Saccharomyces cerevisiae S288C: one gene and its partner. The protein of the gene in region 1 interacts with the protein of each later gene in a pairwise test. Each region holds a gene or a part of one and is shown in the gene's direction. Other genes may lie near its edges.

What was found.
Region 2: the proteins of ECM5 (region 1) and SNT2 interact in binary tests that used the Saccharomyces cerevisiae proteins (3 or more experiments, as listed by UniProt).

The regions. Positions count from the first base shown.
Region 1 is NC_001145.3:609,744-616,534, forward strand, and holds ECM5 (Ecm5p), read left to right. Parts: upstream 1-1,996; coding exon 1,997-6,232; downstream 6,233-6,791. Other genes in the region: DDR48 (DNA damage-responsive protein 48), read left to right, coding at 1-238; PAI3 (Pai3p), read right to left, coding at 416-622; SIP18 (Sip18p), read left to right, coding at 1,273-1,512; YMR175W-A (uncharacterized protein), read left to right, coding at 1,571-1,765. UniProt on the Saccharomyces cerevisiae protein: May be involved in cell wall organization and biogenesis.
Region 2 is NC_001139.9:261,134-267,693, reverse strand, and holds SNT2 (DNA-binding E3 ubiquitin-protein ligase SNT2), read left to right. Parts: upstream 1-1,834; coding exon 1,835-6,046; downstream 6,047-6,560. Other genes in the region: CEG1 (mRNA guanylyltransferase), read right to left, coding at 170-1,549; ITC1 (Itc1p), read right to left, coding at 6,193-6,560. UniProt on the Saccharomyces cerevisiae protein: Transcriptional regulator that, together with ECM5, recruits histone deacetylase RPD3 to a small number of promoters of stress-response genes in response to oxidative stress.

The DNA.
Region 1 (6,791 bases):
TTCCTACGGTTCTTCTAACAAAAAGAAGAGTTCTTATGGTTCCAACAACGATGATTCATACGGCTCCAGCAACAACAATGACTCTTACGGTTCCAACAATGACGACTCTTACGGTTCCTCTAATAGAAACAAGAACTCCTATGGGTCTTCCAACTACGGTTCATCCAACAATGATGACTCTTATGGTTCATCTAATAGAGGCGGTCGTAATCAATACGGTGGTGACGACGATTACTAAGTTTTTGGATGTCTTCGATAAAAAAAATATATTATTGTGTTTAGACTTAAGTATGAAAATTTTATGTATGAGCTGTGGCTATGTATCCGCTGGCAAATAGGTCTGCTTTTTCTACACTTTCCACCCTCAACCTAACAGAGCCCGCTGGCACAAATAATCGATAGTAGGACAACAGAGCTACTCCTTCTTATGCCCCGCCCCTTTGAGCTTGTTGTATTGCTCTTGATAGTTGTGTTTTTCACTTTCATCAGCATCGGTAGTCTTGCCGTCCTTGTCTTGACTAGCCATTTTCTTAAAAGCGTCACTCACTACCTTTGCATCGCCCTGCAATTTTTCCTTTGAGCTCTGAAATATTTCGCTCACTTTTTGTTGGTCTGTATTCATTCTGGATGTCTTGGTTGTAGAAATTTCTTTTATTGGTTCATTAAAGTCAAGGTAAATGGCGAGAACTAGAATAGAGTTTTATTCTTTTTACCGTTATATAGATAATTCTAGCCGGGGGCGGTCGCCCCTGAGATTCCCGACATCAGTAAGACATAGTACTGTACGATTACTGTACGATTAATCTATCCACTTCAGATGTTCAACAATTCCTTTTGGCATTACGTATTAATACTTCATAGGATCGGCACCCTCCCTTAAGCCTCCCCTAAATGCTTTCGGTACCCCTTTAAGACAACTATCTCTTAACCTTCTGTATTTACTTGCATGTTACGTTGAGTCTCATTGGAGGTTTGCATCATATGTTTAGGTTTTTTTGGAAACGTGGACGGCTCATAGTGATTGGTAAATGGGAGTTACGAATAAACGTATCTTAAAGGGAGCGGTATGTAAAATGGATAGATGATCATGAATACAGTACGAGGTGTAAAGAATGATGGGACTGAGAGGGCAATTATCATCCCTCAGAATCAACATCACAAACATATATAAAGCTCCCAATTCTGCCCCAAAGTTTTGTCCCTAGGCATTTTTAATCTTTGTATCTGTGCTCTTTACTTTAGTAGAAAGGTATATAAAAAAGTATAGTCAAGATGTCTAACATGATGAATAAGTTCGCTGAAAAATTACAAGGTAACGATGATTCCCATCAGAAGGGAAAGAACGCCAAATCCTCCAACAAGGAAAGGGATGATATGAACATGGACATGGGTATGGGTCATGATCAGTCCGAAGGGGGAATGAAGATGGGCCATGATCAATCTGGAACAAAGATGAACGCTGGCAGAGGAATTGCGAACGATTGGAAGACTTACGAAAACATGAAAAAATAATGTTACGTTTTTTTGGGCGCAATTAACCAAGTCCTTTTATTTTTTTAATGGTTTATTTATGAATTGTTTATGTTTATGTTCTTTATACTCAAAATCAATAAGTGCTTATTTTAGCGAATTTTCTTCTACGAATATATATAAGTCATATCTAAGACTTCCATCCGTGCTTTATTACGTTTGTATGATGCATACAATGATGCCAAATCAGCTTGATGCTGTTGGTATTCAGTCGTCCGAAAGCCTGTTGATGTGACACTCAAATCTTCGGCATGTGTGAACGGTGGCCGAGCATAGTTCGTGAACATCATCACTTAAAATAAGAACTACACTTTACATCAGCGTGGAAGATAAAGGTTGTTTTAAGCTCAAGGGCGCTGGAGGTGTAGCGCTTCGGAGGAAAATAATATTGAATAACTTCGCTTTTTGTTCCAAATTCTAGATTATCGTGTATGTTCTTGTTCGTACGTCCATCTCCATAGTTATAATGAGTGGGCATGATTCTGTTACAAAAATATCTCATATCCTGAATGAACCGGTTAACGAAAAGGTAATGGTACAAAACGGGTTCCATGAAAGCTCTAAAATTGCAGACATCGAATTAGAGATACAGGAGCGACCTTCGATTAAACAATGGGAATCGCCGCGGAGTGCTGTAATTCCTACTTCAAATCATAATTTTAGCCCATTTCTCTATACGCAATTTAAATCTCGTGGTGCAGCACCGTTTGCACCTGAAACAATAAAATCTGTAGATTTAGTTGAGCTACCGGAGGGTGTACCCGCAAGAGTGTTTCATGAAAAGACGGGTTTATTTTATCAAATATCTCCACACTCTATTCCAACATTTATTTTAGCCAAAAAAGAACTCCCGGACCCCATAAAATTTTATGAGTTAGTGGAAGACTTAGGGTCAGTTTATGGATGTGTTAAGTTGAAAATTATACCAGATGCTGACAAATTTACTCAACTAAATGTTGATGTAGATCGCCTCTGGTTTAAAGCAAGAAAACAATTTTTCAATTCGAATGAATTTCAAAGAACCAAGATAGTTGATTTTTATGCGAAGTTGTATAATTTTCACAATAAAATCAAAAAGAGTACTCTCACAAGGATCCCAAGTATCGATAAACGCACCTTGGATTTATATAGACTGAGGAGTTGTGTGAAGTTGAGGGGAGGCTTCAATGCTGTTTGCGAAAAAAAATTATGGGCGCAAATTGGAAGAGAATTAGGTTACTCGGGCAGGATTATGAGTTCGTTATCAACTTCTTTAAGATCTGCCTATGCAAAAATTTTATTAGACTTTGACATATATGAAGAAGAAGAGCAAGCTGCTCGTAATAACGAAAAAAATGAAGACATGGTGGAATCTGAAATATTTCGTCACTCAAATAGCAGAAGTAGGGACGAAGAGGAGCCACTTCATAAAAAAGCTAAAATACACCGCGATGTCTTTAGAGCCGGATCGATTAATCATGAATTTAAAAGAATGCGGGACATAAAGCACATAAAAGGGTTTCCGACTTATTTTAACTCGTTAACTGAGTTTAAACTAGGCTATACACAGTCAACAGAGACCACATTACCGGGCTATGATTTTACTTTTTGGGAGAATGGTATGGAAATATACGATAAAAGCAAATACGAAACCAAAACCTCTCCAGTATACAATTTGAGACAGTATTACGAAAAAAGTCTGGCTGTTTTCACTGCTATTGTAGCGAAATTTGGGAGTAGCTATCCTGATTTGTTTGCGAAACACACAACATTACCTCAAAAGGAATTCGAGAGGTTATACTTTCATTTGCTATCGGAGCACTTTATAGATTTCGAAATTGACACCGGTCTTGGACTACCCTGTTCCATGAGATCACCAGGAAACAACTCGTCCAATGAAAAGTTTGCCATTAAGAATATTCTAGACCAGTGGAATTTAGACAACATTCCTCTCAATGAACTATCGCTTTTACAACACCTTGATCTGGATATGGCCAATTTTACGAGAACCACTTATGATATTGGAATGTTGTTTTCTTGTCAAGGTTGGTCTGTTTCGGATCATTTTTTACCTTCAATTGATTTCAATCATTTAGGTTCTACCAAGTTGGTGTACAGTATTGCGCCGAAAGATATGGAAAAATTCGAAGCTTTAATTGCTCGAGGAAAAAGTGAATGGGATACTATCCAATCAAGGCCGCGCTACTCCACCTCCGATGACGAATTAAAGAGCTTTATAGAAACAGATTTCTACAAGTCATTTTTGGATGCAGAACAATCTGCTGACTATTCAAACACTGGAGATAATTCAAAAAATTCATTTCCAGAAGATAAGATAGCAGGAAACACTCTACATGATGGTTCACAAAGCGACTTCATATTTGAGCCTAATTTCATCTTAGCCAATGGCATAAAACTTTATAAGACGACACAGGAGCAGGGCTCATACATTTTTAAGTTTCCGAAAGCCTTCACATGTTCTATTGGATCAGGTTTCTATCTATCACAGAATGCAAAATTTGCGCCAAGCTCCTGGTTGAGATTCAGTTCCGAGGCAGCAAAATGGACATCTAAGATGGGGTTTCTTCCCGGTTTAGATGTAAATCAATTACTTATCAATGCCCTACTAAACTCCAATAACCCAGTTTTAAGGAAAAAATGCCGTGATTTAATAAGTAACTACGTCGTTGAGGAAGCGGAAAACAGCAAAAAATTAGGGGAGTTGATTGGCACTGTAGATGTCGTTTATAATAAATTGAATTATATTTCAGATATTAGTTTAGAGTCAACTGGTCTTTCAAAAATCGTTGTTACACACGGTGCATTGCAACGTAATTTATCTCTGAAGGAATTCGTGGTATTGCTAGAAAAACCAGAAAACGGTGCTCATAGTATATGTGGCATCCCAATACGTGATCAATCTGGTAATCTCAATGTTTGTTTGCACTCATACTTTGATAGCGCAAGCCTAGGAATTGCTCTCGATGGCTTGGACAAGCCTCCGACTTCTTATCTGCTTGTTCACAATGAAGATTTTGAAAAAAAGTGGGACGTGTTAATGACTTCTACTTTTAGAAATAGAACTGTGCCATTAAATATAATACAGTATTTGATCTCTCATACTGATAGTAATACTGAGTTTAATCGAATGTTACGCTCCAATTTTGATGATTCATTACTACTTATTGAGAAATGTAAAAAGTTTATTAAGACCTTCGTGGATGTTTCCTGTTCTGTTAAAGATGTAGATTTCGGAAACGGTTTCAATTTACGTCATCTACCGCTTAAGTTTTCTGACAACATGGCTGATAATTTGGAGAGCTTGTATGAAAGTGTGCGGAAGTGCTCAATTGAATTTTCAGAAAAGCCGACAATTATCAGACTGTATCACGTATCTCGGCAGTTTCCTATCGATAATAGAGATATTATTGATGGCAATAATCTAGATTTGCTTAAGGAATTATATCAGAAATCGTTAACCATCCCGTTGAAGGTTTCTTATTGGACTAAGTTGACCAGAAAAATATGTAGGCTTGAATGGTTATCCGTTTATGAACATATATTCATTGAGCGATGTGATATTAAGAATGAAGACCCTGCGAAATATTCACTTCCACTGTTATATTCTTACTTCGAATTTGGTTTGAAATATTGTGATTCGGAAGATATAGATAAGTTAGGGGAAGTGAGAAAGCTGATTTTAAAATATCAGGACATGATGCAGAAAGTTCGAGTTTTTCTAAAAAAGGATCCACCCTCAAAAATATCGCTAAGTGATTTAGAAGACGTTTTATTAGATATAGAAGAATATCGGTTACCCATACAAAGTAGTTTTTTCAGTGAGCTTGATTATGTTATTAGAGAAATTGAAAATGCAAAAAAAATGAACGATGTGAATATTCTTTATAACACTGATAATATTGATAAAATAGACGAACTCATCAGGAAAAATGATCCTAAATTTGTGAAGTTTGCGAACCAGTTTAATGGTTCGAGATTAGATAAGAGACCGCTGGCCAGTGATAATTCAGGATCAGTGAAAGCCAAACAGGAGTTAAAAGTTTTCAAATTATGGAACCAGCACTTGGATCAAATAATGCAAAAAAATAAATTTATTGAGATACTGCCGTCGATTTTTAGATGTTTAGATTTGAAGTCAGACAAATACATTCCTTTGGAAAGTTGTTCTAAGCGCCAAACGAAATATTGCTTTTGTAGAAGGGTTGAAGAAGGTACTGCAATGGTCGAATGTGAAATATGCAAGGAGTGGTATCATGTGGATTGTATTAGCAACGGTGAGTTGGTTCCACCTGATGATCCAAACGTTTTATTTGTTTGCTCGATATGTACACCACCCTGTATGGCCGTTGACAATATCGAAGGTGTGACTTTTGAGCTTGACGACTTGAAGAGGATCTTAGTAGAATCTTTGAAGCTAAGTTTAATTCCAGATCCCCCTATCTTGAAGAATCTCTTTGACGTTTTTGCGTTTGCTTTGAACTTCAAAAATGAAATGGAAAAAGAACTATTTACTAACGGTTATGTAAATCAATTGTCCTCTACGCACAAGATCAAGTATTACTTGAGAAAGTTAAAAGGGTCACAATGCGGCTTTACTAATCTGACGGATCCCTTAAGGAAACATTGTCAGGTGAAAGATGCAGAAGCAATTAAATGGCTCACAGATAATGGAAGAATCATAATCACAGGAATTCCAAATTGAAACGTAATACTATCTTATTGATTAAAATCACTATTTACTTATCTAAAATGTACCTGCGAAGTCTGCATGACATATTCTCTCTTCTTTTATTGCGCATACCTCGTTTACTCATACTCAGATGTTCTACGACGTTTTCTATGGTTGGCAGTAGTTACCTATTGTTGACACTCCAGTATTGGGTGTTTCCCATCCAGCATAATCCCGGTAAAAAAAGACACCCCAGAATCTAGGAGAGCTCCTTTCGAAGGTGGAAAAGCGCGTTTTGCTGTCAATATTGATGTTTATTAGTAAGTGTTTACCGTTTCTTGATAGCTTTCCTTACGTAACAATTGTTCTTCTGCTTTCCTTCGTAGGAGGAACGCGCCAAGGCAATTTTTCTCGAGAGGTATGAAAAAAATAAAAAAAGCTCATTTCCATGACAACTTCAAGTAATTGACCATCTATAGGAACCCTAAGACTTTTGGCAACTTCGACTTAGAGCTCTTTTTTGTGGTTTTGTTCATTTACGCTAAATAACTGAGAGTTTAAATTTATTGATTTATATATTATTGCATCACAC
Region 2 (6,560 bases), on another chromosome or scaffold:
GCGTATATAACACTTTCACCCTCGCTTCTCAAAATTCTCCCATTTCTCATGTACATATAAATAGATAACTAACTGAATTAATTTAGCAAAAGCAATTGCTTTTGCTTTTCTATCTTATTCATACACAAAATTCTTACACCGATATATGTCGATACGAACACTTCTTAGCCTAATCCGACCAATCATCCTCGTCTACATATTTTGGCTCCTTATCATTACTTGGGGGCTGTGAATGGACTGGCTTAGAGGTAGATAATGTCGCATTTTGACTTTGAGACGGTAGTGGTCTCCCACTACCACCAGCCATATTTGCTCTTCTCTCGTCCCAGCACCTTTTAATATCACCAACAATTTCCTCGAGGTCCTCCAATGAAACTGAATCGTTGATACTCTCCAAAACTTTCTGGACCACCGATGTATGATTACCATTTAACTTATCATCCCTGAATCTTAACATTTCCCACGCCCCAGTCTCTTGGTTTTTTGCGCACTCTACTATTCTACCATTTAATGGCTGTTCTAGGTTCTTCAAATTTTGCCATTCCTCATCTGAAACGCTCAACTCTGCAAATTTTCTGTATGTTCTTTCTAATATTTCAAATTCCTTCCTATCGAAAGGCTGGTCGAAATGTTTTAAACGTGAATTGACATCAGCTCCGCCTTGCCAGACATATAAGCTGAAAACTGGCTTAACGTCATAATTGTAATACCACCTGTTCCGATCATCTTTAGGCAAAGAAGGATCCTCCACCATTGGGATATCTAAAATCAATTTGAAGTCCACGGTGTTTTCTTGTTCTGGCTTCCATTTTAATAACAATGAATCTTTTCCGCCGGCAGTGTAAGGTGCCTTCACAGGAGTAAATATCAGACCATCAGAAAGATGTGGTAGTTTATCTAAACTTTTAGCAACTTTTACTAATTGGTAACTGAAATCCATATGTTTCATGGAAATTTTGAACGGAAAAGTAGTACAACGATTAGGGTACGCTGCTCTTAAATCGAAGTATGGTTTAAAAAATTCTTTTCCAAGGTGGGCTAGTCTAGAACTTGTTGGTGATTGTGTGAGACATCTACCATTGATAGCAAGACAATCGAACATTAAATAACGCAACTCTTGTAATTTTGTCATTGGGTTAGTTTGTATGACAAGTTCACCATCTAATAAGGTGCCATCTTGAAGAGTCTCTAGCAGCTCTTCTTTCTTCTTTTGGGGTAATCTGGGAAACCTAAATCCATTAACCAGATAATAGTTATTTTCCCTATCAATCATAAAGCATCCTTGCTCACCCGTCACAGGATTTATCACTATAAACATCAACACCCGCAGACCATCTGTTTTCTCACAAACGTAGTAATCATGCGCAAGCAGCTTCTCTTCCACATCAGAATGCTGAAAGGACACAGGCTGGGAACCAGGGAATGTTTTCGTAGGTTTTGGGGAATTCAATAATTTACAGACCATCATCTTCAAGTCTTGCGTGACATTCCCAGGTTGAATGAGCCCAGGAATTTCCGGTGCCACTCTACTTTCCATTGCTAAAACCATATTTGTTAAATTAGCGGTCGATTCGTATTTGCTTATTCCGTTAGTTAGCTTTAGTTTAGATATAACAGATCGTATTCCACCATTTCTTTCGTTATTTTCTGCAATGAACTATTTATTATACTAGGTTACGCTTCGGAGCGACTGACCCGAACATCATGGAGAACTATATATATTTTATGATATTGCTTTCAAAAGGACTAAAAATAAAATGCCATCGAACTATCTGGTGGCAAAATTGGCCTATCGGGACATATTGAGATCATCTGCCTTTCAGCTGGTCACGCTATGCCTAAAGAAGAAGATTTCCAATTACCTAGAAGAAGAGAGGCTGCTAAAAACGTGAATTATAATGAAATGGAAATAGATACTAAATTAGTTCAACAAATACAAATAGCGGAAAAAAGTGGTGCTAAGACCAAGGGTAGCAATAGCCAAACTCCCAGGAATTGTAAAAGGACAAGCAATCCAGCTAGTAGAAACGAGAAATTCAAGTACCAAAAATTCCTTCATGATAAGAATACTTGCTGGAACTTTATCCCTACATTACCCCCTTCGTTCAGAAAGAATAGCAGATTCTCTAACATACTTGATCTAGATGATGCCATGATTGACTTGAAAAAGATGTCTCTTTTCAATACAGAATCTGTCCTTTTATCTGCGAACGACACTATTTATATGATATCAGAGCCTGCTGGCGAGCCTTATTATGTTGGCAGAGTTGTAAATTTTGTTAGTAAACCAGAATTTTCTAACACTATTCATGAAGCTATAAAGACAACATCGGTCTTCCCTGCTAAATTTTTTCAAGTTAGAATGAATTGGTTTTATCGTCCTAGGGATATTCAAGAGCACGTAAATACTTTTAACCCAAGGTTGGTGTATGCATCATTACACCAGGACATATGTCCTATTTCATCATACAGGGGAAAATGTAGTATATTTCATAAAGACGAAGTTTTTGATGTTCTTCCTAATGAGAAGGAATGCATTATACGACCCAATATCTTTTACTTTGATGAACTTTTTGACAGATATACTTTGAAATATTACAAAGTTTACAGCACGGATAAAATATTAAATAAATGGAACAGTAAGTCGCCATTTCTTTATGTTTTGAATAGGAGATTTCGTTATATCTATACAGAACCGAAGTATCCATTGGAGAACGTTTTGAAGAAATACGTTTTCCATGAACTAGAGGTAAACGAATTAAGTCCTGCAGACTACCAATGGGATAAAAGATGTCAGTTCTGTAAAGAATGGTGTATCCAAAAGGAGAGCCTTTCATGTGATGAATGCGGCGTTTGTGCACATCTATACTGTATGGATCCGCCACTTGACAGGAAGCCGAACAAAGACGTCGTTTGGACCTGCTTCAGTTGCTTACAGAAACAACAAGGTACTAAGGACTCGCATGTTAGGTTTCTAGAAGAACAAGCACTGGAACTGGATTTTATTCGCTCTGTAAGACAAAAAATTGAAGAAATTTCTAGCAAAGCTATCAAAGAGAATGTTGGTTATAATACCGAAAATTGCTGGTTTCAATACTTAGGAATATATTCCATTTCTCATATTGGTGACGCATTAAATGATTCTATGTTTTTTCCATATCCTTTCAAACCCTCTAGGGTAGGAGTGAAGTATCAATGGAACGGATGTAATCATAATGTGCCCTGGAGGCGGAACTCGTATATAAGTGCAAATTCAGAAGAAGAGCGAGGCTCAACGAAAACTTCGGAACTAGCATGGGTACTTGATGCATCAAAAATTACTACTCGAAAATTGAGTGAATATATTGAACAATGCAAAAGCGAAATATGCCCTATTCTCAATGTGAGAGGTGAGACTTGTAATTTCATTGATGTAGTCCTAAAGAATTTATTATTTACAAATTATGATACAGCAGAGGCATTTAAAAAATGTAAAAGGGAGCTTTCCAGAAAATTTTTGAAAGAGCCAAGTTTTACCGCCGTGGAGATCCGAAAGTTTGAGGAAGCTGTCGAGAAATTTGGGAGTGAATTACGCCCAGTGTGTGAGTATGTGGGCACTCAACCTATGTCGATGATTGTTAGATTTTATTACAATTGGAAAAAGACTGAAAGAGGCCTTACCGTGAGAGGGAAATTGAGTAAGTTATCAAAGAATAAAAGAAAAAAAGAAATCGCTAATCATGAAAATGACGTAGAGACAAAGTATATAGATGATTCTTCTTTTGATACTGAGAAACTCTCTTTAGCAGAATCCTCCTTCCAATGCATGTTTTGTAAAACAGATTACTCCCCGATGTGGTATAGAGTTACTGGAGGTTCAGATGATGAAAAGATCAAGATAAGAATGCAGACAGGAGTCAACGAAAAAACAGAAATTTCAGAGAAATCGCCTGCCCATAGCAAAAAGAATGAAAAACTTGGCGCTCTTTGCATTCGTTGTGCTCGTATGTGGCGAAGATACGCAATTAAGTGGGTACCACCGCTTGAAACATTGAGAAAAATAACGGGAACCTGTCAGAATAGTTTTTATTCAGCGATAGAAGGGATTATAGAGGAGAATAACACAAACAAGTTTACGTTATCTCCCTTTCAAGCTCATAATAAACTACTAGAATGGGAACTTGTTCAGGATTCAGAGCTAATTATCAGGCAAAGAATGAAAGTTTACAAGAACCCAAATTCATTTGTGAAAATGAAGCGGTATTCCATGACATTCCACACGCAACTCTACAAAATGGCTGTGAGATCATATCGAAAGAATGAGTTTCACCCGGAGACGATGCAACGAGATCTTGAGCTATTTATAGAGGACAACAAAGAGGTAAGAAAAGCCATCCCTGAACAAAAGCCAGAAAGAGCGAAAAACACAAAGGACGAATTTCCCGTGAACATAATTCGACAATCACCTGGTACTATCAAAACAAGTGATACAAGCCGAAATCGCAAGTGCAACGATGTATTTATCGAGAAGGCTAGTAATAACAATATTCCTAAAATCACTAATGCTTCGAATGATTTGATAGAAATTTCAATTAAAACAGGCGGCAGTTCTTCTGGTTCAGTGTCTGTAGATAAAGGTTTTAAATTTGTCAAATTTGATAACAAAACATTTCAGCGATTACGGAATAGCTTAAAGTTAGTGAATAATAAGCTGCCAAAATATAATGAACCTTCAACGAAGAAGATCAAAATGATCAATGACATAGCGTTAAGTAATCCGTTAAACGAACCAAACGGGGCATCGTACAATTATACAGTTATTTCACATTCTAAGGAAACTTCTGTCGCCCTTGAAAAATACCATGATGGTAATAAACCGAGCAAAATGTTAGAGAAAGACATGATTTTGAAACACACTAAGAATAAACCAAAAAATCCTGATACAGCATGGGCAAATAATAGCGCAAGGACTTTTTGTAGTGTCTGCAAAGAAAAATTTAACGACAATGACAACTATGAGGTAGTATGTGGTAATTGTGGACTTACAGTACACTACTTCTGTTATGCTATTAAACTGCCGAAAGATATGAAGAAAAACACTAACCTTAAGACATTTAAATGGTTATGTGACCCTTGTTCAAATGACCTCAATCCTATAATATCAACGACCTACCAATGTAGTATGTGTCCTACGAAGGACTATGACTATGATAGATATAGGAGCCAATCATTTAAAATATGTCCAGACGCATTGAAATGCACGAGCTTAGGGACATGGGTGCATTTGGTTTGCTCACTTTTCAATGAAGATATCAAATATGGAAACGGACAATCAATGCAACCTGCCCTTAATACCACTGCTGTGCTTATTAAACATAGTAGATTTACATGTGGTGTGTGCAGGATAAATGGAGGTGGGTTAGTGAAGTGTAACAAATGCCAATATAGGTATCATATTACATGTGCACAGAACAGCTCCAATTTTAAGCTTATGTTTGAAAAGAAAAATATGTCTGTAGACACCACTCTACCGTGCATAAAGGATGTCAAGCTTAACGATACATACACTTTGAGACCTATACTAATATGCGATAGACACGATATCAGCTTAGAAGGAAACGAACTTTATCCATTATCGTACAAGCCTCAACATACTCTGTCATACATAGAACAATACTGCAGATATTATAAGTGCGAATCTGACCATAGTCTAGTGGAGTTGAGATATTTTGAACAGCTTAGACTGCGACACGGCGAAATGCCAGGAAACTCACACGACTCTGCTATTAAACCCAAAATTTACGTACTTCCTTTCGAAAGGACTTGCCCACATTGTGGTACAAACAAAAGTTTATACTGGTATGAAGATATTATTTGCCATTCTTGCAATTTGAGATCAGGTGCCCAAGAACTCGATTTTGATAGCGCATCTGCTAATATCTCTAACGATAACGGTTTACCAGTCGAAATTACCCAGCAATTGATGGAAGGAATTGAGCCAGCTATGTTTGATATCGATATTTCAGAAGCTGGTACCGACAAAAATACGCATCCATCAAGCCAGTAAGTGATAGTTACCTTAGATAGAAAGTATGGTCCAATCTTGCGCGGCTTTGTTGTGTTATTTTTTTCCATTATGCTTACAATGAATAATCTTATCCTATTTATGAATACTACAATTTACCATCAGTTACAAAGGAAGTTTTTTATATATTAATTTGGGGCAGGTGTTACTGTTCTTGAGGTTTGGCCCACTATATCTTTTAATTTATCGTCTACTGTTTCAATGACACCACTCCTTTTATTACCAGATGCATTTTTGCGAAGTGAGGAACCCCATATCGAATTTGCTAAAACGTTTTTCCAAGCTATCACATCTTCCATAGCTTTAAAATGTCTATAATTGACTAAGTCAGTCAATATTTCAATCTGCTTATTCACCTTATTACCACGGGAGATTTTGGTTCTTTTCCTTTCTGAACGGGCTAAAATCCTCGCGCCTGGCCTCTGCGAATTTATTATGGATTTTTTCTGTTCCAAGAGTTCATCTCTCTGATCTTCTAATTCTTGTATTCTATTAA